4 separate regions of the Mus musculus genome follow, and regions 2, 3 and 4 are each reported to be linked to region 1. The links are microRNA targets in miRTarBase. Many come from high-throughput screens and were not tested one by one. Region 1 holds a microRNA gene; each other region holds the end of a gene's coding sequence.
The links. The annotated mature microRNA mmu-miR-34b-5p reads AGGCAGUGUAAUUAGCUGAUUGU and lies in region 1 at 3,573-3,595, shown strand. An mRNA with a match to its seed (bases 2 to 7 or 8) in the 3' UTR can be bound and repressed. Matches are read on the target gene's strand: a 7mer-m8 pairs with bases 2 to 8, a 7mer-A1 pairs with bases 2 to 7 and ends in A, and an 8mer does both.

Region 1 (7,124 bases):
TATAGCCCTATTTTTGTCCCATATTTTGGTGCTTTTTAATTATGTTTTCCCCAAATGTTAACAATAACAGCACTCGAATTCAAGATTTCTTAAGCACTTAGTAATCTAAGTACTTAGACATTCAATATATTTTATGTGATATAAATATATTATCTAAACATTTTATGCATTAATATAATAATTTATATATTAATATTATGATGCATTAATATGATTAACATAATTTAACTATATTAATTATCTATACAAACAAACTGTCTATCCCTCCAATTAAACCACATCTCTGGAGACTGTTGTTCCCTAGAGATGAGAAATAGACAAGAATTGTTTCTGGAGTAAGAGCTCCATCAACCTTAACTAGGAAGCTATTTTTGTTAGATTGTTCCTAAAAAAGTAAATTAACATTTGATACTGAAAGCAAAACTATTGGTTAATTGAGAAATGGAAACAAGAAGCTAATTGAGAACTTTTCCTAATGAGAGTTCATTGAGTTGAAACCAGAGGTATAGAGCTGCTGGCAGTTCATTCTAGCTCAGATGACAACCCACTATGATTAAACAGATTCATTGATTTGTAATTATTCAAGGGCTAAATTGACTTCAACTCAGCCTTGCTTCAACTTATAAACTAGTTCCTAAGCATACTATCGTGAATATTAATATGGTCATCTGACATTTGATAGTCTGCATAAAAAAATGCATGGTTTTATTTCCTAGGAAAGTATGCATTTTTGAAATGTTTTAAAAGAAGTGGCTAAAGATCATTGCTTTCTAATTAGTGTCCTTCATTCTTTCCTCCCTAACAAGAACCTTCAAATGCTGCAGAAATAGCCTGCAACTGGGAGGTTGTATCAAGAAGAACAAGAGCTCAAGGCCAGCCTGAGCTAATTGAGTCCCTATCTAAAAACAAAGAGGACGTGTACAGACGATGTGCTGTGTGTACTGACAGGAGGAAGTCATCTCTCGATGGCCCTTTTACAGGAGTCATAAATTAAGTCAAGATAAATTTGTCAGATTCACGCAGGAAGTTCTTGTTTTTGATACTTTTCATGGTTTCCTTCCGGTCAATACTATCAACCCATCTCCTCAAAGGTCCTACCCCATCTCCCAGATCAACAAAAACCCAGAAATTAAAGCAGTAAACAGCTCCTCCTCAAGGTGCCTTCCTGGATCTATCTAACCAAATGTAATGGTCTGCTTGGGCATTTTAACCACACCACAGGCATTCTTACTTAGATTAAAACATGAGTCTCCCTGGTCTCTAGACATGCCTAGGCATGACCAGCAGATGCAATAAGATCCTTGGAGTTTCTCTAGTAACTGTGGGCAGGATCAACAGCAACCCTAAGAACAGACATTCTTTTCTATTGTTGCTTTCTAACAGAACTAGGGCACACGCATTTTTTTTTCATCATTTTACTTTTTATCATTGAAGAAAAAAATTTAGTCTAAATTTCAAGACAGTTTATGCAATGATAGCTTTGGATGGAAGCAATAAAACTCAGGTAAGATATTTAAGATGCTACTAATAGAGAAAATCCCTAAGCTGGGTGGAAGCATGACACATGGAGTGAAATTGAGCAAAATGCAAAATAAATGATTTTTTAATGATGTCCTCCTAAAACTTGTAACTCTTCATAGTGTTTATGGGATGGAGGCTATTTCTACTACTTTTATTTATATTTGAACGTTTAAATGACCTTTTGTAGGATACATTATACTTTTCTCAAATACAAGAAGACTGAATACAAGATAGTTATTTACAAATGTCTTTCATAAGTTAATTTTATAATAATCTGGCATTTTCTACTTCATTTTCCTTTCACTTAAGCCTTCATAAAACAATGACTCTGAAGGAAAAAAACATTGTCTTTTACTTTCAAAGATAATGTTAAAATATACACAAGTTTATTCTTGGGAAGTTCTTGGGTTTTAATGGTTTCCACTTGGAATTTGTGTTGAATGTTCCTGATGATTGGCATATATTCATGTAATTAGTGGCATCTACAAGACCATTTGCTGGGCTTACAGGTATCAGTGTATAGCTAAGAAATGTCCCTTTGTAGACTGCAAGACTGTTGGATCAATACAAATGGGTGTCATACAGCATACAGGAAGACCACAGTCTGGGACGGCTACTTCCTACTGAATTCCACAAAGTTTGCAATCAGAGAATACTGTATATCCTCTCTGGGCTCAATTAATTAAAGGAAAGGAGAGGAAAGACTAAAGGAAAGAAATATTAGTGAAGATGGCGCAGAAATGCTGTCCCCTCAGCGCCTCCTATTCCCAATATACACAAACACGCACCCCGTTATCAGATATAAAATAGCAAAAACAAGGGGAATGTAACTGACAGAAGATATGGCTTCTCGGGCTTCTACAGACCTCATCCTTAATGTCCAAATCTACCCTTGCTTCAAGGATCTACCTGAACTCTCACCTCCTCCATGATGGTGTCTGTCAGCTCTTGTTGGCACACCTCCCACCCCCACCCATACCTGTTTTTTTCTATTAGGAAAATCTATCAGTTTAGCAACTTTATACTGTCTGGAGTAATAAATAATGTGTTCACATTTTGTTACCACCTAGACTGTCTGATGGGTAGTAAGACAAACGCCTGTTAGGTGCTGGATTTGTAACATTTAAATAAAACAGGAGCCCAAAGTGAGACTAGATATCCTCAAGGCTCACGGGGAGATCATCAAAACTGTGTCTTTGATCTTATAAGGGCCACAACTTTGACCTACCAACAAGGGTGTTGGTTCAATGTTTGACCAGAAGAGTGGCCCACACTTCACTGTATGGCCCTGTAAGAGGTAGTCCTAAGAAAGAACTTGGGTACAGGCAAGGGCAATCCTGCAGGTATGAGTGCCCAGGCCTGCTCAGGCAGGAAGGCTCCAGATGAGACGCCTGGGAAGCGGTTTCTGAGAATGGGCATATGAACAGTGAGGAGGCCTGGGGCTTCTTGGGCAATATATTGGGAAGGAGAGATGGATGTAGGTCTCTGCGCTTCTTTCTTCGATGTAGCAGTAACTACACTGTGAAGATAAACTTCTCAAGAATCTGTCTCTCCATCTCCCCGGCCCCTTCCCAGGAGGCTCTGCAGGAGCCCTCCCATTGCCCCTTCTGGTAGCTTCTGCCACCCCTCCCCCACTCGCCCCGCCCCCTCGGCCTCGGGGTTCCAAGGGCGGTTGGTCGCTGAGCCACGGTCACTCGGCCAGTAGGAGCTGCGGGGCGCGCGGGCTGGACAGAACCGGCTCTAGACTTGGGTCTGGAAGCCGTGAAGAAGTTGTTGGAGGCGGGTCAGACCCGGCTTGCGGGAAGAAGGACTCGGGCCGGATGCCCTGGGGTCCGGGCTGAGTCGGGGGTCTCGGGGGGGACGGCGGGGACAGGGGGCCTCAGCGCCTGGGGGTTCACCTGGGGTCGCGCGCGGCCCTGCTGGGTGTGGAGGGGCCTCGGGAGCCTGAGGCACCTCTCGCTCCGCCGCCCTCGCCTGTCGACCGTGGCGAAAGGGGGCGAGGGGCCCGACCCTCGGGAGCTGCAGTGGCGGGCGCCCGGTGCTCGGTTTGTAGGCAGTGTAATTAGCTGATTGTAGTGCGGTGCTGACAATCACTAACTCCACTGCCATCAAAACAAGGCACAGCATCACCCGCCGCCCGCGGGAGGAGAAGCCAGCGCTGCAGCCCCACTGACTCCGCAGAAAGCCGAGGCCGGAGCCAGGATGCGTCAGCAAAGGGCCGGGAGCACGAGGTCTAAGTGCAAGTAACCCTCGGAGACCGGCGGCCTCCTTTAGGGACCGTTCGGCTACCTGTGTGTAAGAGCCAGAGCAAAAACGGTTCAGTGATGTGTAAAGAGAATCGGTATACACCGGCCTTAACATAAAAAAAAAAAAAAAAAAAAAGGCCAGGAAGAGCCCCCCCCCCCCCCCCCCCAGAACAGTTCCTGCTGCTGCTGTGATTCACTGCCTGATTTCCACTTCTGAGAAAGCTATCACCAAGGCAGCGACTAGAGTCAACCACAGCTTGGCTGACGATTTGCTCTGGTCACACCAAAGTCTGAGAGCACCAGCTAAAGACTGCATGCTTTTTTCTGAGTCTAGTTACTAGGCAGTGTAGTTAGCTGATTGCTAATAGTACCAATCACTAACCACACAGCCAGGTAAAAAGACTGAAATTCCTCCGACTGAGCCTCCTGTGAATCGTCATTTTGGTGAGGACAGAGCCATAGGGAAATATTCTTACCATACTATTAGTGGTTTGGGGGGGGGGGGGGAACCGCTAGCCCTTAGCTGCTAAGTATACAATGTATCAATTTGTGTGGGGTACATTTTTTGTGATTTTTAGATATATTGGAAAAATAGAAATTATCCCTTAGCTGATTTGGTCATTATATTGACTTGTGATTATAAATCTTTGGACTTTGCCTGACATATTAATAACACTCTAAAAAATAAAGCGCCACGAAAATCTCAGCAATCGTGTTCATTTCCTTTCCAAAAACTGGCTTTAGGATCTCCATTTCAGCTCCTGTCAACCCCGTAAAGTCATTAAATGGTTAGTTGCTATACAGACAAAATCTCCAGGGAAACGTCTCACACATGATTGTGACCTGGAAGGGAACGTTAAATGTTTTCATAATTTTCCATGGGGCAAGGGAACTCAGCCCACTTAACCAGGTATATTTTTTAAGGTATTAACAGTTGCGTTCTAGGCAACTTTTCGTGGGAATAATTAGTGAACACGATTTAAAACCAGCTGGTTTCCTAATATCTGTAATAAAAGATTTGAGAGGTTTTAAATCACACAAGCTGTATCCACCGGTACTTCTCGGCCCAGTTCTAGATTAGCGCTTTATGCAGATGTATCAATGCAAACCTGAGAATTTCCCCAGAGGTAAGAGTGCGAAGCCTTGGCAATCTTGTCCAAAAGAGGAAGGCGCTCTTTAAAGCTCACATTATTGGGCTATCTGGGGGAGGAGGAGACGCTGGCTGAGGATCTAAGAGACAGTCCAGGACTGTACACATCACAAAGTTGAGGCTTTTACTCTTAAGGCTTGACTGGCCCCGAAAATTGTGACCTCGACAGAAGCCAGCTGCTGATGGGCCACAAGCCCTCGAGGAACCCCAGATCTACGGAAGAAGAAACACAGGCATTCCGGTGGTGGCAGTTACCAACAGGACGGTTCTCCGGTAGGGGCGGGACGCCAGAGCTAAGGAAAGCGTCCTGAGTCACCATGGAAACGGGGCCCAGAGGCTGTCCTAGCGGCAGGAAGGAATCCCAGGAAATCTGCTCCCCTGGATTACTGGTGTTCACCGGCTGCTCTGAGCAGGATGCCAATTTGGCTAAGCAGTTTTGGCTCGGGGCGTCCATGTACCCCACTACCGAATCTCAGCTCGTGCTGACCCGAGGCAGCAGTCAGAGGCTACCGGTGGCGCGGAACTCTAAAGTCGTTCTGAGAGGTGAGTAGCAAGGCTACCTCCTGGAAGGGGAAACTGCCTGGTCTAATTGTCAGTCAATTGAGAAGTACAAACAAGCAGAAACAGGCAGTAATAGGTATATGCAAATACACAAACAATTCTAAAACTGCTGCAATTCTCCACTGTAAAGGATCTCATTGTTACATATAAATTCATTCTAGAGCTGGAGAAATGGCTCAGCAGTTAAGAGCACTGACTGCTTTCCAGAGGTCCTGAGTTCAATTCCCAGCAACCACATGGTGGCTCACAACCGTCTGTAATGGGACCTGATGCCCTCTTCTGGTGTGTCTGAAGACAGCTACAGTGTACTCACATAAATAAAATGAAAATCTTAAAAAAAAAAAAAAATTCTAAGAGTCCCTTAAATGATGGCTTTTATTTGGCAAAGAGGATGGGTTAATCTAAGGAAATGGTGCTTAGATTAGGAAAGCATTTACATAAAATTGAATTCAAATTTAAAAGCCCAAGAAAAAGTTGTTGGCAGAGTCTAATTTAGGAACCCTGTTTCCTGACTGACAAGCCTTCGGGCCAAGGATGTATAAAGTGTTCTTATTCAATATTAATAGGTATATGAAATTAAAATACTGTTCATGTCAGCTTTTCCAATAACTTTCTCTTCATTTGTATTTCTTAGAGAAAAGTTCTGTCCAGCCCTTTCCCTTTGATCAGGACAGTAAGTATCAAGTTTTAATGCCTTTTTATATGTAGACTCCCCAGATTATCTTAGAATTCCTAGAAGTATACATTTACACTGTGATATAACTAAGCTGCATATCCCACACCTTGCTTCAGGGCTCACATACTCACCCAGAAGATAACTTTCTGACTCTACAGGCACTTTCTCCCCAGCATCCCTGACCCCACAGGCACTTTCTCTCCAGCATCCCTGGTCCCACAGGCACTTTCTCCCCAGCATCCCTGACCCCACAGGCACTTTCTCTCCAGCATCCCTGGTCCCACAGGCACTTTCTCCCCAGCATCCCTGGTCCCACAGGCACTTTCTCTCCAGCATCCCTGACCCCTCAGGGACTTTCTCCCCAGCATCCCTGGTCCCACAGACACTTTCTCCCCAGCATCCCTGACCCCACAGGCACTTTCTCTCCAGCATCCCTGACCCCACAGGCACTTTCTCCCCAGCATCCCTGATCCCACAGGCACTTTTTCTCCAGCATCCCTGGTCCCACAGGCACTTTCTCTCCAGCATCCCTGATCCCACAGGCACTTTCTCTCCAGCATCCCTGGTCCCACAGGCACTTTCTCCCCAGCATCCCTGACCCCACAGGCACTTTCTCTCCAGCATCCCTGAACCCACAGGCACTTTTTCTCCAGCATCCCAGGTCCCACAGGCACTTTCTCTCCAGCATCCCTGACCCCACAGGCACTTTCTCCCCAGCATTCCTGGTCCCACAGGCACTTTCTCTTTAGAGGCTGTTTCTTATCTCCACTTATGATTTACTCATCATGTAAAGGTATGGGAGGGTTCCTGACATCATGAATAATTAATGCAGTCTTCAGTTATTTACCAATCATTATAATGTCAAGACAGTATGTATTTGTGTCCCTTCCTACTCTATTCTCCCATATCCAATTTCATGTCAAAACTGTAAGAATTATGACAAAGTTGTGTCAGATTAAATTTGGTTTTA
Region 2 (7,124 bases), not on the chromosome of region 1:
AGAGTGGATATTTTACAACATAATATGGAACAGATGATGGATGTCATACAAATGAGTTGTGTGGCATCCACATCGCATGTGTGCATTACTCCCAATAGGTATATTAATAATTCTTTTATTAAAAGTACAGACCTAACAAATTACCTGAAGGGGAACTGGTTGCAGAAGCTGGAAAGGTTGCAGACGAGGCTGCAGATACAGATCCTGAACCTTATTAATGGGACCAGAGTGGAACCAGTTACCTCTTGGCTCACCTCTGTTTTTTCTTACTTTAAGGAATGGGTGGGAGTGATTTTGTTTGGTGCTGCCATATGCTGTGGACTGGTGTTCATGCTCTGGTTGGTATGCAAATTCAGAACCCAACAAAAAACGTGACAAGGTGATTATAACTCAGGCACTTTTAGCTATTGAAAACGGCTCCTCCCCTGAAATTTGGTTATCTATGCTCAAGAATTAGTTGGCATCTGAGTTCTCTGCTCTTGCACTCCACGGCACTGAGATGAGAGAGACTCAACGATCATTGATCAGCCCTTGCACATCACTGAGGTTTCCTCATTGCAAGCGATAGGGTGATCATGATTTCCCCACTAATTCATTTTTTGGCTGGCCTCTTTTGCAAAGTTCTCCCTAGGTCATTTAGCAGTTACTGTCACACAGCACTGTGGTATCCAGAGACAGGCAACTTTCCTCATGCACAGTCCAACCTAAGACACAGGGCCCGGTGGCGATAGGGTTACCCTATGACGGGTAAGGCTGTGAAACAGAGGAACGACCTAAAACAGGAGCCACGGCGGATGGACATAATTGCACAGGCCTAGTCCAGCCTCATTTTATTAAAACAAAAAGGGGGAGATGTGGGAAGCCACATGTGCCGTTGCAGAGTGGCACTGACTACTGCTGGCCACCATGCATAAGTTTGGACAACCAACCAATGTGTACATATGCAGTAAAGCTTTTTGCAAAGACACTGCCTGGCCTGGGCATGATAATGAGGCTTTGAGAGTATAACCAATCCGATGTGAGACATGCAAATGAGGTATGATAATGAGGCTCTGTGAGGTACAGAGAGAGTAGCCAATCAAATGAGGAACATGCAAATGAGGCTTAGTGCATAACCAATCCAGGTGTGAGACACGCCTCTCCTAGGCCTATATAGGCAGCACCAGTTCTGGGCTCGGGGTCTCTGCAATCAAGCTCTCCCAATAAATGTGTGCAGAAGGATCCTGTTGCAGCGTCGTTACTGCTGGCCAGTCTGGCGCGCGCAAGAAGCTGACAAACAAGATCGTGAGTTATCTCCAATTCCTGGCTCTAAGTGTATGAAGCTCACCTAGTGCTCCAGATGAGCACCAAGAAAACCACAGTGCTTTGAGATATTATTTCATGAAATATTCATTAAAATTTTAGTACAGTGGTTTGAGTATTTTTAACATTTTGTGTGTATGTCTGCCTCCACCTGTGCCTATGTATATGCCTGATGCCTAGACACCAGAAGAGGAAACTAGCATTACAGATGGCTATAAACCACCAGGTGGGTGCTGGCATTTGAACCCAGGTCCTCTGGAAGAAGAGCTAGTGCTCTTAACCACTGAGCTATGTCTCCTGCTATGTGAATACTTGCATCTGGAGACCCTTTAAAAATAAAACCTATCACTGTCCTATTCAAGTATGAAAATATTAGGCATACTCCTCACCTGGGTGTTAACGACATTTCTGGTAAACACAGTATAGCGTGTGAGCAAGATATGAACACAGTCCAAACCCCTGCAACCAGCTTGCTCAAGGTGGGAAAACAGACTTCAGCAACTGCCACAGCGAGTTTCTCAGCTGGCTCTTTTCTTGTGGTGCGCTAGTCTAGCCAAGGCGGCAGAAGGCTGGCCTATCTGCTCAGGCGAGTGTGTGTAGACTCCTGAGCATCAAACCACTTCCATGGTGGTCGTTGTCTTAACACTACCTCAGCAAGCCCAGAGCTCTTCTACTTAAAGACGTTTCTAGGTCCAAATCCTTCACCGTAATGATTTGAAATTGAAGAGTAAGCATGGCACACTAAATTTGGGAGAATGCCAAGGAAGTACAAGTGGGACCTCTTTTCGTGGTACAAGACCATGCCCATTTATAGACTCAAAAACCCCCATTTACTAGAAACCACACCTGTCAACATCAGCACATGATTCATACCAAGGCCCAATGAGACACATTAAATTTTCAAATAATGTCAACACCACCACAAGTTTAAGAATTTTAAGTACATTTTATTAACAATGAATCCCTTTGATAAGATTATGCTTCAGGAGGCTTTAATGCCCTTAACATAAACTGTACACATTGTACAAAAACAATACAACCACAATAACAACAACAAAAAAATCAAAGTGAGCAAAACCATTTTGGGACAAATCTTATTTAAATTATACACAACTCAATGAAATATTCTTAAGGAAAATATATAAATACTTTTTCTTTCTATGTTACAGTTATACAATATAAATCAGATTTCAATGTCTGTTCAGTGACCTACAAACACCAGAACCTCCAAAAATGTAGCAGCGTATTACTAAAAAAAAAAAAAAAAAGGTCATGTGGTCAGAGAGCATTAAATCTGAGATCCTCTTTATAATCCCTTACCACTTTTCAAAGCTAATTTAATTTACATCATTTGTTTTACAATGCATCATTAGGGTTTTTGACAGGCTAGTAATGGAACATTTTTCAACAATCATACATTAAAAGATTTTACCACTCCCGCTCTGCCCCAAGACTTTGCATCTTGTGCTAGATCAACCTAGTTGGGGAAATTGTAAGATATGTTTCCTTTTTTTTTGGCATAAATTAATTTTTCATACTAAGTATTATAGAGTCAAAATGTGCAATCCATGCATCTGCGGCAGTTATCCACCTAACTATAAAAATACTCAAAGGGGCGGAATCCCACACTCTTGTGAGTTGTATAAATGTACTGTAATGAACCCCCGGGGACCTGAAATGACAACGGCTCTTGTAAAGACTAGTGCAGACTCCTGTGTCTTCCTCAGCAGTGACCTCAGGGTCACTGGCAGGCTGAGGTGAGACTCAGTGTAGAGACACTCTCCAAGCTAAGAGACGTTGGAACAACAGGCTTTGTCAGTATGGAGGAAATGGAGACCTTCCCAACTCACACTCGGGAAAATCTGAAATGTTTATTGCAAGCAGCTCTTCTTAGAAGTCTCCTAAACAATTTTACTTTTCTTTCATGAACTGTGAATTTGGGACAAAATGGAAGTACAAGAAGAGGGGGAAAAACTTTACTTCCAAACTATATTTCCAAAGAGGTCACATGTTCTTCTCACACAAAATTAGCACCTCTTATCACAGGAGAATAACCACAATTATAATTTGAATGACAATTTTGTTTATTGCTTAATGGTCTGTGCTTTGAGTGGGGCACCAGGGGCATCAGCTGAAGGGGCTGAGAGTGCATGGAAACAGCAGTGGGCAGTTTACACACACACTAGCAGCCCCTACGCACATCTGGTCTCAGTGATGGAACCCAGCTTCAACTGTCTCAAGCTCTGGACAAGAGCCGAAAGCTCCTGAGGACACGGCTCCTGGTGACTTGGATACATCACCACAGCAACAGTGCACACACTTCCTAAGAGCCTTGCACTGCTGCTGTCTTGTGGGATGTCTCTACACTTACTCTTTATTAGAAACACTTAGGTCAGGGGACACTGTCTTCCTCCATTATACTCTAAGCAGAAACAGAAAAGCATAAGACATTTTAGAGCCTATTTTCTTATAAATACTAAATTTCTCACTTTTTTATTTGTCAGTACTTAGTATGTGAAGCTGAAATCTGTTCTTGAAAAAATTTCAATTAGAAATGACAATTTACAATTAGAAATTCACAGTTTACAACCAGCTTAACTGTTCAAACTCCTCCAAATTATTAAATAATTATCAATAGTACAAATTTATATGACTAAGATTAATTCTAAACTCTTGAAAAACTACGGTATTGACATTTTGGTAATATCTAATATTTATAGACAATTTTTCAATGATTGCTATTACCATTGACATCATTCATAACCTTTTCTGCTATAATTTAATAGTCTTAAACACCTATGCTAATCACTTGGCACTGCATGTCGTTTTCGTCATAAAAGTCTACTTTTATACATGTACTTAAAAAGAAATGTATTACACCTGTTGGTGAAACCATGGTTAAACCAAATAGCACTATAAATTTAAGCATAGACAATTTCCCCCAGTATACTGATCATCACAAAGCTCTGATATCTTCCCAAAGTAAGTGCTATAGGCAGATATGATCACACACACACACACACACACACACACACACACACCTTTCAAAGTAACAGTCAAAGTGAAAACACAATCCTTGGCTTAGGACACTAGGGCACAGCCTCAGGTTCATGATGGCTGACTTGGGCGCGAGAATGGGCATAGTTTTGTGTGAAGAAAAACAAACAAGAATAGTTATCATTAACTCTCAAGGGACGAAACCACAGATTTTCTACTCTGTTAACTGAGGTAGTGTTTAAAATGAATGTCTAAAATGTTAATCCCATTTATGAATAAGACTACATTACTTCCTTTGGAATTGTAACCATTATTTGGTCTAGTATCTCTGACATTTGGTTCTCTGGAAAGGCAGTTTTATTGTCCAAGACCAAAGACCAAGGTGATAGGCATGCTCTTTCAAGCACTGCTGACATTTAATGAACACGGGTTCAGTGATGAAGTTGAAAAGAAAGTTTTACCCTCACTGAATTTTCTGGGAAAATGCGAACTGTGCTGTAATGTGAGCAGCAGCTTAGAGCCCTTGTCTGCTTTGTTATCATGGAAGTTGCTATACAGTGCACAGAAGAACAACTCGCTCAAGTGCAGTCAAAGAGGAGTCAGGAGGGACAGGAAATGCTTCGTCTCAGTGCCAACTTTCAGTGCCAGCAAGTTCAAAGACAAATTTCTGTGAGTTATGTTTTCTAGTTCACAGGGTACTTTACAGCAGTCTTGCAAACAAGACCATTATGAGAAGGGTGTACGACATGGGAAAATATGGACCAATGTCTATGACATGTTAAAGCTGATGTGCAATTGTAAAATGGGTTACACAAAGGAATTGCAAAGGTCCTAGTCAGTCCTAGTCAGCTGGATGGTTTGTTCCAAGATAACCCTTTCACGCGTAAGCAGTCTAGTAATGATGTTCATGCTACTTTATGTACAAATTTGCATATATGTTTAATTCCTGTGAAGATTTCCAAGTCTCTTTATACATAAACAAATTAGACAGACAAAGTCTCGCCTTCATCAACTTCACAAATGTGATAAAGGCAATGACTATACTTTTAACTCACCTATAACTGCAATTTATGCAAAACAGGAACACTAACAAAAATTAAATTATCGCTGCTTTAAAATTTAGTAATTAAGGCTTTTCACCACAATTCTGAATCTTAATAACGAGTCTCAATGACGTTTTAATAGGACATATGGCTCTTCCTTTTTCCCATGGAATGTGTAAACTGCAGGCAAAGCTGTCTTTTCCTTGAGAGACTGCAGCCTCACTTCATGCTTCCTTTGCTTTGTCCAGACTGCTCATCTGGCTCAGTCCCTTGTAAGTGGTGAGAGGAGTGGAGGAGGTTGGGTACAATGTGCTCTGAACACGAGAAGTATTTACTCCTTACTACATCACAACCATAGTGAAAAACCTTAATTAGTAGAAATAGCCTTTAACAACGTATTGCAACAACCTGAAGCGACAGAGGACAAGTAAGCATCCTTATGCATCTAGCATCGTAAACTAACTTCCAAGTTCCGAGTGCTGAGGTGTTCCTTCTGCTGTGAAGTTATAAACCTCTGAAGTAGTGTTACAGACATTAAGAAGTGTGGAAAGGCGAGTGTGTTCCTCTGATACCAGCAGTTACAGCCCACGGGGTAACAGGATGCAGTCTCGGAGTCAGTGACTCCTGCTTTCCACAAATTAGTTAACAAACAAGGCATCTTTTGTATTTACCCTTGATTAAAAAGCATTCAGAAAACAACGGTGTGAAGGATGCGTCTTCATGTCCTGTTTTGTTCCACTGCCATTGCGCTTTGAAAATAAAAAAATAGAAAACCTATGTAGATATTCAGTGCTTGGCTCTTGCATATGATGGTAACTGAATTAAAACCATGGTAATGAACCACGAACCCCGAGAAGGGCCCAACGCGGGAGAGAAGTTGGCTTGGCTAGGAATGCCAGCAGTCCCAGCTGTTCTGTACCAATAACTGCTGGCCAGTGTCAGAAGGCTCTCCTGCCTCACTGTCAGCCAGTCAGTATCCTGTGGGGCTTTCAGGAAGTCCACAGTAGGAATACATATAGAGTATCCAGCTATAAACGTCATAAGCATGAGGTCAGGATTCAGCAGACTCATCAACTATAGGCTGAATTGGTGGAATTGCCAACACAGCCTCTGCTTCTTCATGCATCTAGGAAGAAGTAATAAACTGTTAATTTTTTAAAAAATAAAATTGGTATGTAATATAGACATAAACTTTCAACTTCAAATACAGAATAATTCTGGGAGACAAATTTCAGAACTACAGTCTTCCTTACTTGTAAAAACTGTACATCCTGAAATAACTCTTGTATGAACCGCCGACACTGAAGTCTAAATGTGCAGTGTGACAACAGATGAGAAACTTCAGAATAAAGGCATATGTCATCAAATGTTTGAGGATACTTCTCTTTAATGCTAAAATTAAAAGAGAGAACACGCCGTGATAAAATAGCACACGATATATTCACTCCACCCCAGCAAATGACACTGCTGCTAAGTTTCCCTCACCCCGGATACTGACTAGATGGAGTGTTAGCAACAGTGCCTTACTAGTATAAGGCAGTCAGTCAGTCAGCCAGCCAGTCAGTCTGTCTGTCTGTCTTTTCCTCCAGCCTTGACCAATGCCCCCATGCCTCACGCACTCCAGGCCCTCCTGCCTCCATCTTCCAGTGCCAGGATGACATGTGGATGCCACCATAGCTGGCTTACTGGGAAGCATTTCTAGTTTACACTTTAGACAGTTCAAGTGTCTGATTTTGAAAGAGTATCAAGATCTGAGTGCTTATTGTAAAGTTATTTTCCAGT
Region 3 (7,124 bases), not on the chromosome of region 1:
GTGAAGGCACTGACTGAGATTGCAATGAGCATAATGAATGAGGGACATTTGACTGACACTGCACATATCAGAGACCAGCAAACTGTTGGACAAGAGACTGACCAAATATCAAAAAAAAAAAAAAATCCATGTACCTTCTGTTGTTAATATCAATTATAAATTAATAGAATTTTTAGAAATCAGGTGTATTATCCTAAAGTTCTATAAATAATGGAAAAAGGAAATTTTAAATGTTTCTTCACATTAGAGTTGGGGCACAATGCCAACTCGGTTTCTGTAGATTGTAAAACCACATTTAAGAGTGATGAGTGTGGCCATGAGATTTCCTTCACCAGAAGCGTAGTTCACCATTAACAACTCTAGACATTTCACAGGTCATTTATTTTTGACTTTCATTCTGATGTCTCATAAAGTGCCGGGCTCTGAACACATATACAGTTTTGTTTATTGTACACTTCTAAGAAAACCCACTTCTCTATAACCATTTCAGACTTTGAAGTCTCCAGCATTCTGAGAGACAGGAACCATGAGCTTTTCTTTGCTCTCACTTCTCATTGTCTCTTATAGAAGGTGAAGATGATGGACAGAGAAGCTCCACCGAACAAAGTGGAGAAGCCCAGGGAGAAGCAGCCAAGTCTGAAAGCTAACACTCCATTCTGACGGTCATCAACATCTGACAATGTGGCAAATATCCTGGCGATGCTCGGATGTATTCGCAGCCACGGGTGAAACGGAGGGGAAGAAAATGGCTGCGCTGCACAGCAAGACACTGTTGGTTGCCATGTCACAAGTGGGGATGGAGCCTGTGTCTGCACACAGCCTTTTCCCCACCTCTGTCATTAGCAATGGTTGAAATCACCTGGGCTGTGCTTGGATCTCCTTCGTGTATGGGTCCTTCCACTTGACCGTATAATGAAATGCTTGTAGAGAGTAGCACTGCCTAGCTGATGATTCCTGTGGCATCTGGCCCCTCATGATGTCAGAGGATTTAATTGTGTCTAATTGAAAAGAGTTGGTTGAACCCCAGAGTTTCAGTATCTCTGGCTGGAGTATTGACTCACAAAAAGAACCATCCAGAGAGCACAGTTAGCATTATGTCCCTGTGTGTGAGTGCTGTTACTTACGCCGTTTTGTATCGTACAGTACACCTGCTCTGCACTGCCCTTTGATTGCTTACATAAAACAAAATGATGTACATGACTGTGAATTTTTATACCGCTCATTTTTTAAAGGGCTGCCTTTTTAATTTCCCATAGTGTTGTGGCGTGAACAGGGCAGAACCTTCTTTTGTAAAACACAACTTTCCTCTTGATAACTGCCGAGGGTTACATCCACTAGACTCACTGAGCCCACTTTGCTTTATTATACAGGCATGTGGAAATATCCATGAATGTGAATATTGCCTGAGTTCAGTCTTAGTATCTACACAGACCAGCGTTCTGTCTTTCAATATTGATTTTATTTCCAAATAAGTACTTTCAACTGATACTTTAATTTTTCATTATAAGAATTTTTTTAAGAATCAACAAAATAAACAAAGAATGCCAGATAATGCAAAGAGCTAGAAATGTTGTGCTGTGAGGATCACTTTTCTCACACTGCTGGGTGCCACTGTTTAACGCAGGAGGACAACTTGTGAAGGAAGTGTTTTCCTCAAAGCCTGTGGGCACCCATCTCAAAAGTAAAGCCCTTGTGCTGTGGCCCCTCTCAGCCCTTTCATACCCAAATGTTGTTATGCACTTTTTAATGTTTGTAAAATTTTACTAATAATTTGTGTGAATTGCATTCAGATATAAAAATTATCACCCAACTACACTTTTACTGATGCTGTTGATGGTCTACGCTGTGTTTTGACATCACAATTCTTGTATGGGGAGTTTCTGTGGCCTGTATAACCCTCTCTGGTCAGTATTATGAAACCAACTATCTTTGGTAATAAATGAGGATCCAGTTAGATGCCCAAGGTTCACCTGGTGCATCATAGGAGGCAAATAACAGATGAAAGAAGACTTTCTCAACAGAAGAGCCTCTAAGTGTCCTGGAGCACTAGCATAGCTACAGTTCCAGGTTAAGTAGGTAGAGGTGTTTCAACAGGCAGACCTGGGTACGGTAGGAACTCGACCTGAGTCTGTAGTTACAGACAAGGTAGACAAGGAAGTCTGCCTATATCTTCCCATAGAGTGCTTTCATTACTGACTGGGAATATATGAATCTCATTTAGTCCCCAACTGGATGTTTTCCAGAAAAACAAGCACTGTTAAGTATGCCTTTCTGGATATAGAACAGTAAATACATTCAATATGAGAGGCCTTGCTTTGATCTAAGTCATTGGAGGCTAGCTAAAATTGAAACAAATCTACCTATTGATAGACTCAAAGTTGTGAACCTATGGCCTATTTGAGACAATCTCCGATAATCTATTTACAACATCCAACAGTTTCAATGTCCTTGTTTAACTATGCTGATAGCTTTCTTGTGAATAGGAAGATCATTCTTAAAGTTGTGTAATTCCACACTGGTTTCACATGCATTTTGTAAAGTGTTGAACCAGTGCTAAGACTGTGTGGAAGGGTTATACCCCTGTGTCATATACTATTACTAATGCATGCGGTGCCATGCTTGTCTTTAAATATATAAGTAGTGCTAAATGCAGAAGTCATAGGGAGGTTCTGATTTCATTTGATTTCTTACTGCTACTTGGTGTCCTGTATTCAATCCTAGAGGGATTCTGTGGCTGGTAAGGGAAAAGAGATAAACATTCTGAATTTGTCACATCACATAAATTTTAATTGGCAAAAGTGCATAGAATCTCCTGGTTTTCATTTAATACTTATCATTTGCAAGTAAATAATACTACATAGGGAATGAATCTGTAAATGCAGATGGAAGTGTGGGCAGCCCAAGGAAAGGGGTGTTAGTTAACTACCCCAGCTAAGTCACTTCAGAACCAAATGTACCATTCAGTTTCATCTTATGCCCCTTTCACAAATTACAATGTGAACATGAATAAGGACTAATTTTTGCAAAACTAAAAAGCTAATTTGAGCCCATGTTTATCAACAGAATTTTGAATCCACATTTCATAAAATTTAAGCTAATTACACAGTGTGTTTCTCTGTATGGAAAACTATAGATAATACACTCAGTCAGCTTGCATTTTACAGAGAAAGAATTTAAGTTACTAAATAGACTAGCCTTTCTTGGGTTTGTACACATGTCTTTGGGACAAAGACACATGTGGTTGAGCCTACCTTTTTTTGTTGTTGTTGTTGTTTTAATACTCAATTATAGCTTATTTTGAATTTATTTAAGACATGTAAACTGTAAATTTACATGCTATGTTCATGCTATGTATGTGAACAAATATTCTTGCTTTTTATTTAATAACCTAGAAACACAAAATTTTCCATTTTAACACATTAACAATGAATGAGAAGCTGTAGAATTTGTTGAGCTTAACTTTTTTAAACTAAGAACATTTTATGTTAGTACATATTCATCCTGAATTCACAGAAATGCTTTCTGCTCTATAACAGAAAATCATGACCTTTATTTTTCAGGAAATACTGACATAGTAGCCCACTGTTCACACCCTACCACTGAGTCTTCCTTAAATGTGACATCAAGGATCCAATGTAGAATAAAATGACATTTTTATCTCTTCTCAGAGGAATACGAAAAAAATGTAACTGTTGGGCAGCAAACTTCTAAATGAATTCTGCAGTAGTAAGGGAAAAAAATGTATAGTCATTAAATTAAACGAAGAAAGGATCCATAATTGATTGTGTCTTAGAAGCCTGGAAATGTTCTTTCACTGACTTGTGGCAGCCTGGGAAGTCATCTGTGAGCTTCTATGACTTTTGTATTTAGCAATGTTGCATGCTCACATAACTGATATTAAAAGCAGCACTTGTTTTCTGAAATGCAGTCTCTCAAGAGTCATTATTTACTGCATACTATATATTGATGCTGAAGAAAGGATTGTAAAACAGGATGTGAAAGGCAAACTCAAAGTCTGAGCTATCTCAGGGTGCGTATCCCCAAGTCTCTGGCTTTACTTTCCTGCCCTCTACCCTAGATGCTTCTGATCCATTTGACTCTAGGTGTCCAGCACCTCACTGTAGCCTTCTGCCATAACCATGCACACTCAGAGCTGTAATGTCAACTTCAACCTATGCTTCTGATTTGGTTAAGAGAGAAAGTATTCAAACACACTAAGGTTTTTAAAACATTCTTCAGTAGCATACACCGAGAGAGGGGGGGAGGGGGGAGAGGGAGAGAGAGGGAGGAGGGGGGAGGGGGAGATGGAGGGAGAGGAGGAGAGGGAGGGAGAGAGAGAGAGAGAGAGAGAGAGAGAGAGAGAGAGAGAGAGAGAGAGAGAGAGATTGAGAATACTCTTTATCACAGGCAGGTAGAAAAGGCCAAGAAAAAAACCAATGTGGGAGTCAAGTGAAATTAGCCATCCATCTTTCAGGATCCGAAATCCATAGGCCAAAGAACCTTGTAAATATTTAAATTTGTCTTACTTAAGCCACAAAACCGAAACATACATGTGAAACACTCTCCCTGGATACGTCTTATGACTTTCTAATTTAAGATATTAGTGAAAATCTAATGTAACTTCAAACTGGATAAGGAATAAGAATTTAACAGTTATTGAGATATAAGTCTCCCTAACAGGTACAATTAGAAGAAGAAAAATCCTCAAAATTCAGTAGACAACAGAAATTGAAATTATACAGTGGATAGGCATAACTATGGACACTGAAATTACATAAATTGGAAGACATAAGGATTATCATTTTTTCCACTGGAGTTACCAACATTCCCACACCCCTTCTCTATCTCTACTTAGAAAGTTTTTTTTTCTCCAATTCTGCTTTTTTTCTTCTTTTTGGAATTTACTTCTGTATGCATCTAATTTCTATTTTAAATGCATAATTTGAGAGAATTAATGGGTAGATCAGAATAATAGGAGGAAAAGCAACTCTTGTGTTTGAAACGTCAGTGCTATAATTGTTCTTCATCAGTTATGAAGTACATCTTGAAGTTGGCAGCAGTATGTCCTTACTACAGTATTTTAGTCAACACATATTATTGAGAGCTAATAAATAAAGGGGATTACACACTCACTGAGTGGGTTTCTAAATGAGGTGACAAAGACTTTAGTAAGTAGATTTTTTTTTGTAAAGACTAGAAAAGGAGGCAAAGAGACTATATTCTGAGCTAAACATTTTTAATATTACTAAATATAACAGGTAAACATTAGTTATAATTCTCAATAATCCCTGGGTTTTAGATGTTCTTATTATATATATATATATATATATATATATATATACATACATATATATATATAATATAGTATAATTATACATAATATGTGTGTAAAATATATTCATATATACACAAACACAGTCAATACACTGTGGAAACCTAAGGTTCATTAAAATAAATTCAGTTACACCAAATGAGAATAAAAGTGCATCACATTAATTTATAAGTGGGTGGCTATTGTACTAATAGCAATAAGAGAGAAATGTGTGCCAGGCAGTGGAGGCGCACGCCTTTAATCCCAGCACTTGGGAGGCAAAGGCAGGCAGATTTCTGAGTTCGAGGCCAGACTGGTCTACAGAGTGAGTTCCAGGACAGCCAGGGCTATACAGAGAAACCCTGTCTCCAAAAACAAAAACAAAAACGAGAGAGAGAGAGCAGTCATGCAAACAGAGAGAGAATGAGAAATGCGGAACGTTCAAAGTAGATTTTTGAGGAGAAATTTTACTGAAAAGAAAGCAAAGCAAGGTCTATATGCTAGAATTGTTTCTTGAGATGAAGATTTCATTGAAGAAAGTTAGTACAAAAGATCTACAGTAATGTTCACTGGTAGGAAAGTGGAGGTACATCACAATGGATACTTGTTAAGTATGGGAAGAGGAACTGGGCCAAGTGGAAAAGTAGAACATAAGACCCTAGTAGGAAAGCCTAGAAGACCAAAAGCAGTTAAACATGGCAGATTGAGACGTGTCTGATATGAACTCTCTAGGAGACGTGTCAGAGGAGAAAACACAGAAGTCAGACCACATACCAACAGAGCAACTCTGGGCCACAGAAAAGCCCAAACCAAGCCTTCAGCAGCCAAGAAAGAAGTCTACTTGTGGGTGTTAAATTTTGTTCAGGTATACTAAATGTTAGACAGAAGTTATCTTAAGACTTATTCTGAAGAAAAGAATTCACAGTTGAAAAAGCCAAAGAAATGTTAGAAGGAAATAGAGCACCAGCTGAGCTTTTCTTCCTTCCTTCCTCCCTCCCTCCTCCCCTCCCTCTCTTCCTCCCTCCCTTCCTCCCTCCCTCCTCCCCTCCCTCTCTTCCTCCCTCCCTTCCTCCCTCCCTTCCTTCCTTCCTTTCCTTCCCTTCCTTTTTTTCTTTCTCTCTCTCTCTCTCTCTCTCTCTCTCTCTCTCTCTCTCTCTCTTTCTCTCTCTCTCTCTCTCCTTCCTTCCTTCCTTCCTTCCTTTCTTCCTTTCTTTCATTGAGGTATTTGCTTACTTTATATCCTGATTGCAGCTTGGGCATATACCCAAAAGATGCCACACCATACCACAAGGACATGTGCTCCACTATAGCAGCCTTATTTTTGATAGCCAGAAGCTGGAAACAACCCAGATGCCCAACAATGGAAGAATGAATACAGAAAATGTGATTCATTTACACAATGGAATACCACTCTGCTATTGAGAATGAGGACATCCTGAGTTTTGCAGGCAAATGGATGGAACTAGAAAATATCATCCTAAGTGAGGTAACTCAGACCCAAAAGGACATGCATGGTATGTACTTACTAATAAGTGGATATTAGCCAAAAGAGTACGGAATACCCAGGACACAATCCACAGAATTTAAGAAGGTTATCAAGCCAAAGGCCCAAGTGAGGATGCTTCTATCCCACTAGGGAGGGAGAAGAAAGATAATCGCAGCTTCTACTCACTCCTCTCTTCTCAGTCTTTGTCTCTCACCCCCCACCAAGCCCCCCCCTCCTTTCTCCTTAGAAGAGGGAAGGCCTGTCATGGGTATCAAACAACCTTAACAGACAGTTGTAGTAGGACAAAGGGCATCTTCTCCTTCTGAG
Region 4 (7,124 bases), not on the chromosome of region 1:
AGATGGAATGTTACCCAGTGATTTTGTGAGTTCTAAGAATCCCATATCCCCAGACGACCTGGAGAGTGGGAAGTGCAGGGTGCACTGCGTTCGTACAGCCGAATGAATGTCTTCCCTTGTTTCTTTACAGAACGTGGAGAAAGTTCTCGTGGAATTCAATCACAAGGAGCTGTTCGATTTCTACAACAAGGTCTGTGTTTATCAACGTTTTCTAGGATGCAGAAATTGTGTGATGCTTCCTTGCTTTAATGAATTTTTATTTTTGAATGCCTTACTATAGGCAAATGATAGGGCCAAATTCTTCAAACTCCTATAAACAACTTATATTTCACAGTAGGAAGAGGCAAAACCAAGATGAAGAGACTCTGAAAACTAAATCAGAAGGAAAACAATAACTAAGAGAGAGATAGGATTAGTGTTTTGTATAGAACTAAGCGGGCACTGTGTGCTCCCCACAGCCACTGGCCAATTACATGTAGACCACCTGGCATACAAAAATGGCTGAGCCCAAGGATAAAAGGAAGCTGACAGATTTTAGAGATTTATCTTTGAGCGTGTTTCATTTTTCTTTCCAATGCATCTTACTAACTACCAAACGTTAAAGTCTTACCGTGTAGTGACAATTTACTAAAATAGCTAAGTGCACTTAAGACAGTAATACTTCTTCCTTCGTGAATGTAAAAACATTAAACGACTAAAACATTAAATGCCTAAATCCTAAGGTCTTTACACATCCAGAAAAGCAGCTTGACTGTTACTGTTGTGCCGTGTTATGCTGAGCGTGGTTCACTGCACAGAGTTCCTGCTGCCTCCGTTTCCCTTTGGTTTGCATGTTTCTAAGCATTTTGTATGCGGTTTATTCCCCTCACTCACTCACTGCTGTCTTTATTTTGTCTCTGTAAATAGCTGGAGACCATACAAGCGCAGCTGGACTCCCTCACATGATGTTCTGGAAGACTGGCTTCCTTCGCCATCACATTCCGGCCACCTCACTCTTTCGCACTGAAGAGAGACTGCCCAAGTATATTTTCTAGAGGATTCGGTGACACTATTGCTACAGATAATATGACTTATTGCATCTTAGACAAATAGCAGTGATGGGAGATCACAATAGGAGCACTGGGTTTCGAGTGTGCCTTCTCGCCTCACAGGAGCCAAGAGCAATTGTTGAGAAAAACGAAAGAAGTAAGAAGTGAATGCCATGCTGTTTTTTCTTTTTTTCTCTCTCTTTAACAATTATTTTATTAGATATTTTCTTCATTTACATTTCAATGCTATTCCAAAAGTCTCCTATACCCTAACCCCACCCTGCTCCCCAACCCTCCCACTCCTGCTTCTTGGCTCTGACGTTCCCCTGTACTGGGGCATAGAAAGTTTGCAAGACCAAAGGGCCTCTGTTTTTTCTGTCAGATTGCTTTCAGGGATCAGGGAAGGTCTGTAGGCAGAAGGTATGATGGTGCCCTAGCAGAGTATGAAACCTTACTCATTACAGTAATTAATTAGGGAAGCAGCCGCAGGCCGTCAAATGTTTTGGCATTTGTCCTGCAGTGTTCTTTTGCTTGAAGTATAGTGCAAGAAAGAAATCTAAAATGGTACCAGTACTGCTGTGAGTTCATCCCACTGCGCTCCCCTTGACTCCCCCTGAAGGTTCCTGACGTTAATGACTTCAAAATCATCTAGGTTTACATATATCTCTGCAGATTACTAACAGTGCACTTCTCAGTGTTTCAGATTGCAAATGAAAATTGACCTGTAATGAGTATGACATGGGAATCTTACATTTTCACTCGAAAACTTTATGCATCCTCCTTTTATGGATATATGTGTTCACTGGTTTCAGTCAATAAAAATTTTCTACCTGAGAATTATTTAAACTCAAGCGTACAATGTTTTTATTTTATAAGGTACTTTAAGCTGTGACTCTACATAAATACATGGTTTCCTGAGAGGGAAAACTCACTTGAAACTTGTGTTAATGAAATGTCTTCCCTTGTTTCCAGGCTCAGACATAGGCTGCTTCATATGAAGGAATGTGGTTTCAGAACGTCCTGCAGTTAAGCAAACAGAGCAGTTACAGTTGAGCACATTTCTCATGAGAGGGTCCTGGGTACTACAGTGCTCACTCACCCCCAATCAGAGCTCACTATGCACCACAGTACCTGTACTGTTAATGAAGAATGTTGTTGCATAGAATTGAAAGTTGGGGTTATTGCAGAAGGCAAGTGATACAGGTATTGTCCATAATTGCTTGATTCTAAGGGTTTCTAAGGCCCCAGCTGCCGTTGTAGTATAGCTCAGTGTGGCTTATAATATAACCTGATACATTTCTTTCTGTGGCTGAAAAGATCACTCTTATTTTCTTTTTCCTTAACAACGCCTTAGTTAGGGTTTCTATTGCTGCAACAAAAGACCATGACCAGAAACAACTTGGAAAGAACTGAGTTTATCTCCGCTTGGAGCTCTGAAGTCCCACTCAATCACTGTGGGAAATCAGGGCAAGTACTCGGGACAGGAACTGAAGCACAGGCCATTAAGGGATGCTGCTTACTGGGTAGCTCTTATAGCTTGCCCAGCCTCCTTTCTTATGCAACTCAGACTGCCTATCCAGGGCTGGCTCCAATCACAGTGAGCTGGGCCCTCCCACACTAATCACTAATAAGAAAATGCTCTACAATCTTGCCTATAGGCTAGCCTTATGGAGCTATTTTCTCAATTAAGGGTTCTTCTTTCAAAGTGCCTTTATCTTGACTGAGACAAATGATTTCACTACTGTCTTAGTTAGTGCTTCTATTGCTGTGATAAATCTACATGATCAGAAAGTAACTTGGGGAAGAAAGGGTTTATTTCAGCTTACATTTCCACATTGAAATATCACTGAAGGAGGGCAGGGCAGGAATCGATGCCATGGAAGATTGCTGCTTACGTTCTCCCGATGTCTGTCTCGGCCTGCTTTCTTCTACCAACCCAGGAACACCTGCCCTGGGGTGGCACTGCCCACCATGTCCTACAGACTTCCTACAGGCCAGTAAGCAGCATTCCACAGAGGTATTTGCTTGATTAAGATTCCTTTTTCTCTAGCTTGTGTCAAGTTAACACAGAAAGACTGTATTATATCACTGTTAGCGGGCTAAGTCGTGAAGGTTTCTTTAAGGGCATTCATTCTCCATGCACAGTGGTGGAATTGCCTGGTGATAAATTTCTCAGAGCATTTTCTCATCCCGAAGCACTTGATGGTTTACTAGAAAGAGAATTACTCATTAGAACGGGGAGTAAATACCTTCTGCAAAGATGATGTTGCTTCCGTGGTTATTTTAAATTAGGAAGTACATAAAAATCCAAATGAACCAGTGTGAACCTGTGGAGTCTCGTCATCCAGAAATGGCCATTAATAGCATTTTAGTGGGTTTTTCATTTCCTAAATTTCCTGGCCATACTTTTTTTCTTATTCATTTTCTTCTTTTCCTAGCAAGTTGAGGTTATGCTATAGTTTAATTTTTTATGTCGTATTATAACTTGGGCATTTTTCATATCCTTATTACCCAGAACATAATTTTAATCTATAGTGAATAAACCATCATTTGAGTAAGTTAAACCTCCTCCCTCTATTGTTAGGCATTTAGATGATTTCCACTTTTTAAAATGTTAATAATGAACCTGCTGTCATACAGTGCTAGACCAGATATCTCTGTGTTATTACCAGAGATTTGTGGAAGTGGAATTGCTACTGCAAAAGTGTGAAGATTTATTTTCTGTTTTTCTCTTTAATGCTAATTTTTATTATAATAGCAACAGTTTTCCATTAGGGGCAAAAATACCCAGCTGTTCTACTTTGCCATTTCAAACCCTAGAAGCGCCCTTTTTATGTTCTTATTTATTATTTTGAGGATTTCATACAATCTTTTTTGGTCATGTTCTTCCCCCAACTCCTCTGCGATTTGGTCTCCCACCCACTCTGTCAACTTCATGTTCTTTCTCTCTTAAAAAACACATTCGGGCTGGGCAGTGGTGGCACACACCTTTAATCGCAGCACTCGGGAGGCAGAGGCAGGTGGATTTCTGAGTTCGAGGCCAGCCTGGTCTACAAAGTGAGTTCCAGGACAGTCAGGGCTACACAGAGAAACCCTGTCTCAAAACAAAACAAAACAAAACAAAACAAAACAAAACACAACCAACCAAATAAAAAAAAAACCAAAAACATTCAAAAAAGGCACAACAAACTTGGAGTTGGACTTGCATCCACTTCCCCTTGTCCACCTTCGGGTTTTGGCTGGCTTGACCTCTGCAGATCCCATACATGTGGTCAAAGTTGCCATGAGTTCATATGTGCATCAGTCCTGTTGTATCTGGGAACCAGCCCTGGCTCTCATGGTCTTTCCACCTCCTCTTTCACACAGATCCCTGAGCCTTGAGTGGAGTTTGATAAACTCAGTCCTTTAGGACTGAGAGCTGTGAAGTCTCTCCCTCTCTGCACACTGTCCATCTGTGGGTCTGTCTGTTCCTTCTGGTCTACTGCAAAGAGAAGCTCTTCTGATGAGGGCTGAGTGCCTCACTGATCTACAGATAGACAGAAATGTCATCAGGACTCATTTTATTGCAATGTTCCTGTAGCAGGATAATAGTAGGGTTAGAAGTGCTTATTTGGTTGTGATAAATGGTTTGGTTTCTATATTTTCAGACAAGTGAATACATATACAAATGCCTTAAATGTGTTTATATTTATTTCGAGGCCTCTGATGGATATTGCTACATTGTTTCCCCAAACAGTTATTTCAATGTTTCTGCTCCTTCCACCAATGCCTAAGAATTCACTCCCCAAGCCTTTCTCTCAGCCCTTCCCTCCCACCCTTAACATTTGCCTTCACTGGGAGTTACATAGTTTGTATCCTTCCACAGACTGAAAAAGGAAGCACTGTTTTCTACTAGAAATATATTGTGTTAGTAGTTCCAAGACCGAAGAAGAAATGTTTTTTTTAAAGATAGTCAGATGTGTACAGAGCAGTAAGTATAAGGGCCTTGAAGGTCAGATATTTATTTTCTTAATAAATATTCACCAAATAACATGTTGCCAAGAATTCTGCATACCTAGCCACTATGTGACCACGATGAGCAAAACAAACATAGTCCCTACTCACTTGAAATACAATGCATGGGTCAAGAAAGTGGACAATCGTGCAGTAAATTGGCAGAGGTGAGGTAGGTATAATTGGATTTTATTAAGAAAAACTCCAATGTGGAACCAAACCTAAGGATCATGGGTTTCTGGAAGGATTCTCTGGGGAGTGAGACTTGGATAAGATACAATGACAGAATGGAATTATAGGGAAAAAAAAAAAATTCAGACAAACAGTCTGCTCCGTGCAGCAAACACCCCAGAGGTTAGAAAAGACTTACTAGTGTATTTAAGAACCAACAAATCTATATGGCTAGAGTGTGCTGGACAGACTAGCACAGCTGCTACAGCTAGTGAGCTAGACAGGCGTCAGTCCCTCACCAAGGGCCGTTGTTTTTTATGACCTAATATATTATAAATGTATTTCTAGGTCTCTCCCATGTCCAAGCCACCAGCGTCTTTGCCTTCACACGACCCTGCATCCAGTCCAACTCTCCTTCAGCCCGGGCTTCATTCCGGGCCAATTAAACACTAATTCTACTAATTATTCCGTTTCCCTGCCTTCAAAGGGTCCCATTATCCACCAAATAGCACGTAATGGACTTGGCCCCTCAGCCAGTGCCCGAGTCATACCCTAGTTCATGTTTGCTGTGCATATATTAAACAAATTGCAATTTGCTAATGATCATTTCTCTTGGCCTTAATACAAATCATAATTCCTTAATAGGAATAATAATCTAAATAATGACAAGGTTTTGAGGATTAAGTGAGATAATTTGTGTTAAACATTTGTCAAACTCTGATTCCCGTGATCACATGCAAGTGTTAGTGGTATTTTTTACAGCCCCTGAGAAAATAGGCCTTCTACTAAAAGGGCTCCAGGTGAGCTTGAATTAATGTCAAAATTACCAACAGCCTTATGAAAGACTTTCTCTTTGAATTTGAGTTCTAACAGCAACTCCTTCTTTTCTACTGTAATGCTAATCTATCACTTCTTAAGTTTCTTTTAACTAACTATTGCGGTCCCTGATAGCACTAGAATAAGAAACATAGTTTTGTTTGTTTGTTTGTTTTTGTGAATACCTTTCCACATGGTCCTTTTGGCTTTAAGAAATCTTTTCCTCAGGCTGGGGAGATGCCTCTGTGGGGAGATGTGCTTGCTGCTCAGACCTGCTAATCTGAGTTCAAGTCTCCAGAATGTGCATAAAAGCAAGACAAACAATGTGAGCACCTGTGATCCCAGTGTGCCTGTGAGAGAGATGGGAAACGGAAACTGGTGCATCCTGGAAACTCACAGCCCGGCCTGTTTAATGTGGGCAGTGGGAAACAACAGAGAGACTGCTGCAAACCAGAGGGAAGGCAGGGACCAGCGCCTGAGGTTTTCCTCTGCCCATGCAGGCCACTGTTGCACATCCACAGCTGTACATACACACAGGGTACATGATACTTTTATTTCATTTTGCCTTAAATGATATCTACGCTATTTATTATATCAGGGGCCAGTGCAGTGTGGCTCTGCTCATCATGTCTTTCTTAATAGAACACCATTGGAATATGGATTCTTGCTCACACCAGACTCACCAGCCAGAACGATGCTACAACAGGATCCTTCTGCACACGTTTATTGGGAGAGCTTGATTGCAGAGGCGAAGAGACCCCAAGCCCAGAACTGGTGCTGCTTATATAGGCCTAGGAGAGGTGTGTCTCACACCCAGATTGGTTATGCATGGATTATGCTTACCACCTCATTTGCATGCCTACATCTGATTGGTTAACTTGTCTCTCATCTGATTGGTTAACTTGTCTCTCATCTGATTGGTTAATTCTCAAAACCTCGTCTTGGCAAAAAACTTTACTGCCTATGTATGCATGGTGGCCAGCAGTAGCCAGCCCCACCCTGCAACGGCACATGTGGCTTCCCACAATGGATCTCTAGCTGCCCAACTCACTCTAGAGACAACTGAACCTGTTAGGAAAGAGCATGGGTTAGGGGCATATGGTAAGGGACTATGGG

Region 2: the mRNA of Rictor is a reported target of mmu-miR-34b-5p. The part of its 3' UTR that is shown has no 7-base or 8-base seed match.
Region 3: miRTarBase lists Pkia as a target of mmu-miR-34b-5p. Seed matches in the 3' UTR shown: 7mer-m8 at 935-941 and 7mer-m8 at 1,157-1,163.
Region 4: the mRNA of Commd10 is a reported target of mmu-miR-34b-5p. The part of its 3' UTR that is shown has no 7-base or 8-base seed match.

The regions. Positions count from the first base shown.
Region 1 is chr9:51,100,081-51,107,204 of GRCm38, reverse strand. It overlaps Mir34b (microRNA 34b), which reads left to right and starts at 3,560; the gene lies at 3,560-3,643. It overlaps Hoatz (HOATZ cilia and flagella associated protein), which reads left to right and starts at 5,127. Exons shown (of 6, transcript NM_177702.4): 1 at 5,127-5,460; 2 at 6,113-6,151. The coding sequence starts at 5,235. It overlaps Mir34c (microRNA 34c), which reads left to right and starts at 4,095; the gene lies at 4,095-4,171. It also overlaps a transcript of Btg4 not described here.
Region 2 is chr15:6,795,506-6,802,629 of GRCm38, reverse strand. Rictor (RPTOR independent companion of MTOR, complex 2) reads right to left here. Exons shown (of 38, transcript NM_030168.3): 37 at 6,596-6,734; 38 at 2,229-6,468. The coding sequence ends at 6,394. Among named protein-coding and RNA genes, the nearest start is that of Osmr, 75 kb to the left of the region's middle.
Region 3 is chr3:7,441,444-7,448,567 of GRCm38, forward strand. Pkia (protein kinase inhibitor, alpha) reads left to right here. Exons shown (of 3, transcript NM_008862.3): 3 at 568-3,923. The coding sequence ends at 647. Among named protein-coding and RNA genes, the nearest start is that of Zc2hc1a, 58 kb to the right of the region's middle.
Region 4 is chr18:47,086,122-47,093,245 of GRCm38, forward strand. Commd10 (COMM domain containing 10) reads left to right here. Exons shown (of 7, transcript NM_178377.4): 6 at 131-190; 7 at 907-1,874. The coding sequence ends at 945. Among named protein-coding and RNA genes, the nearest start is that of Commd10, 130 kb to the left of the region's middle.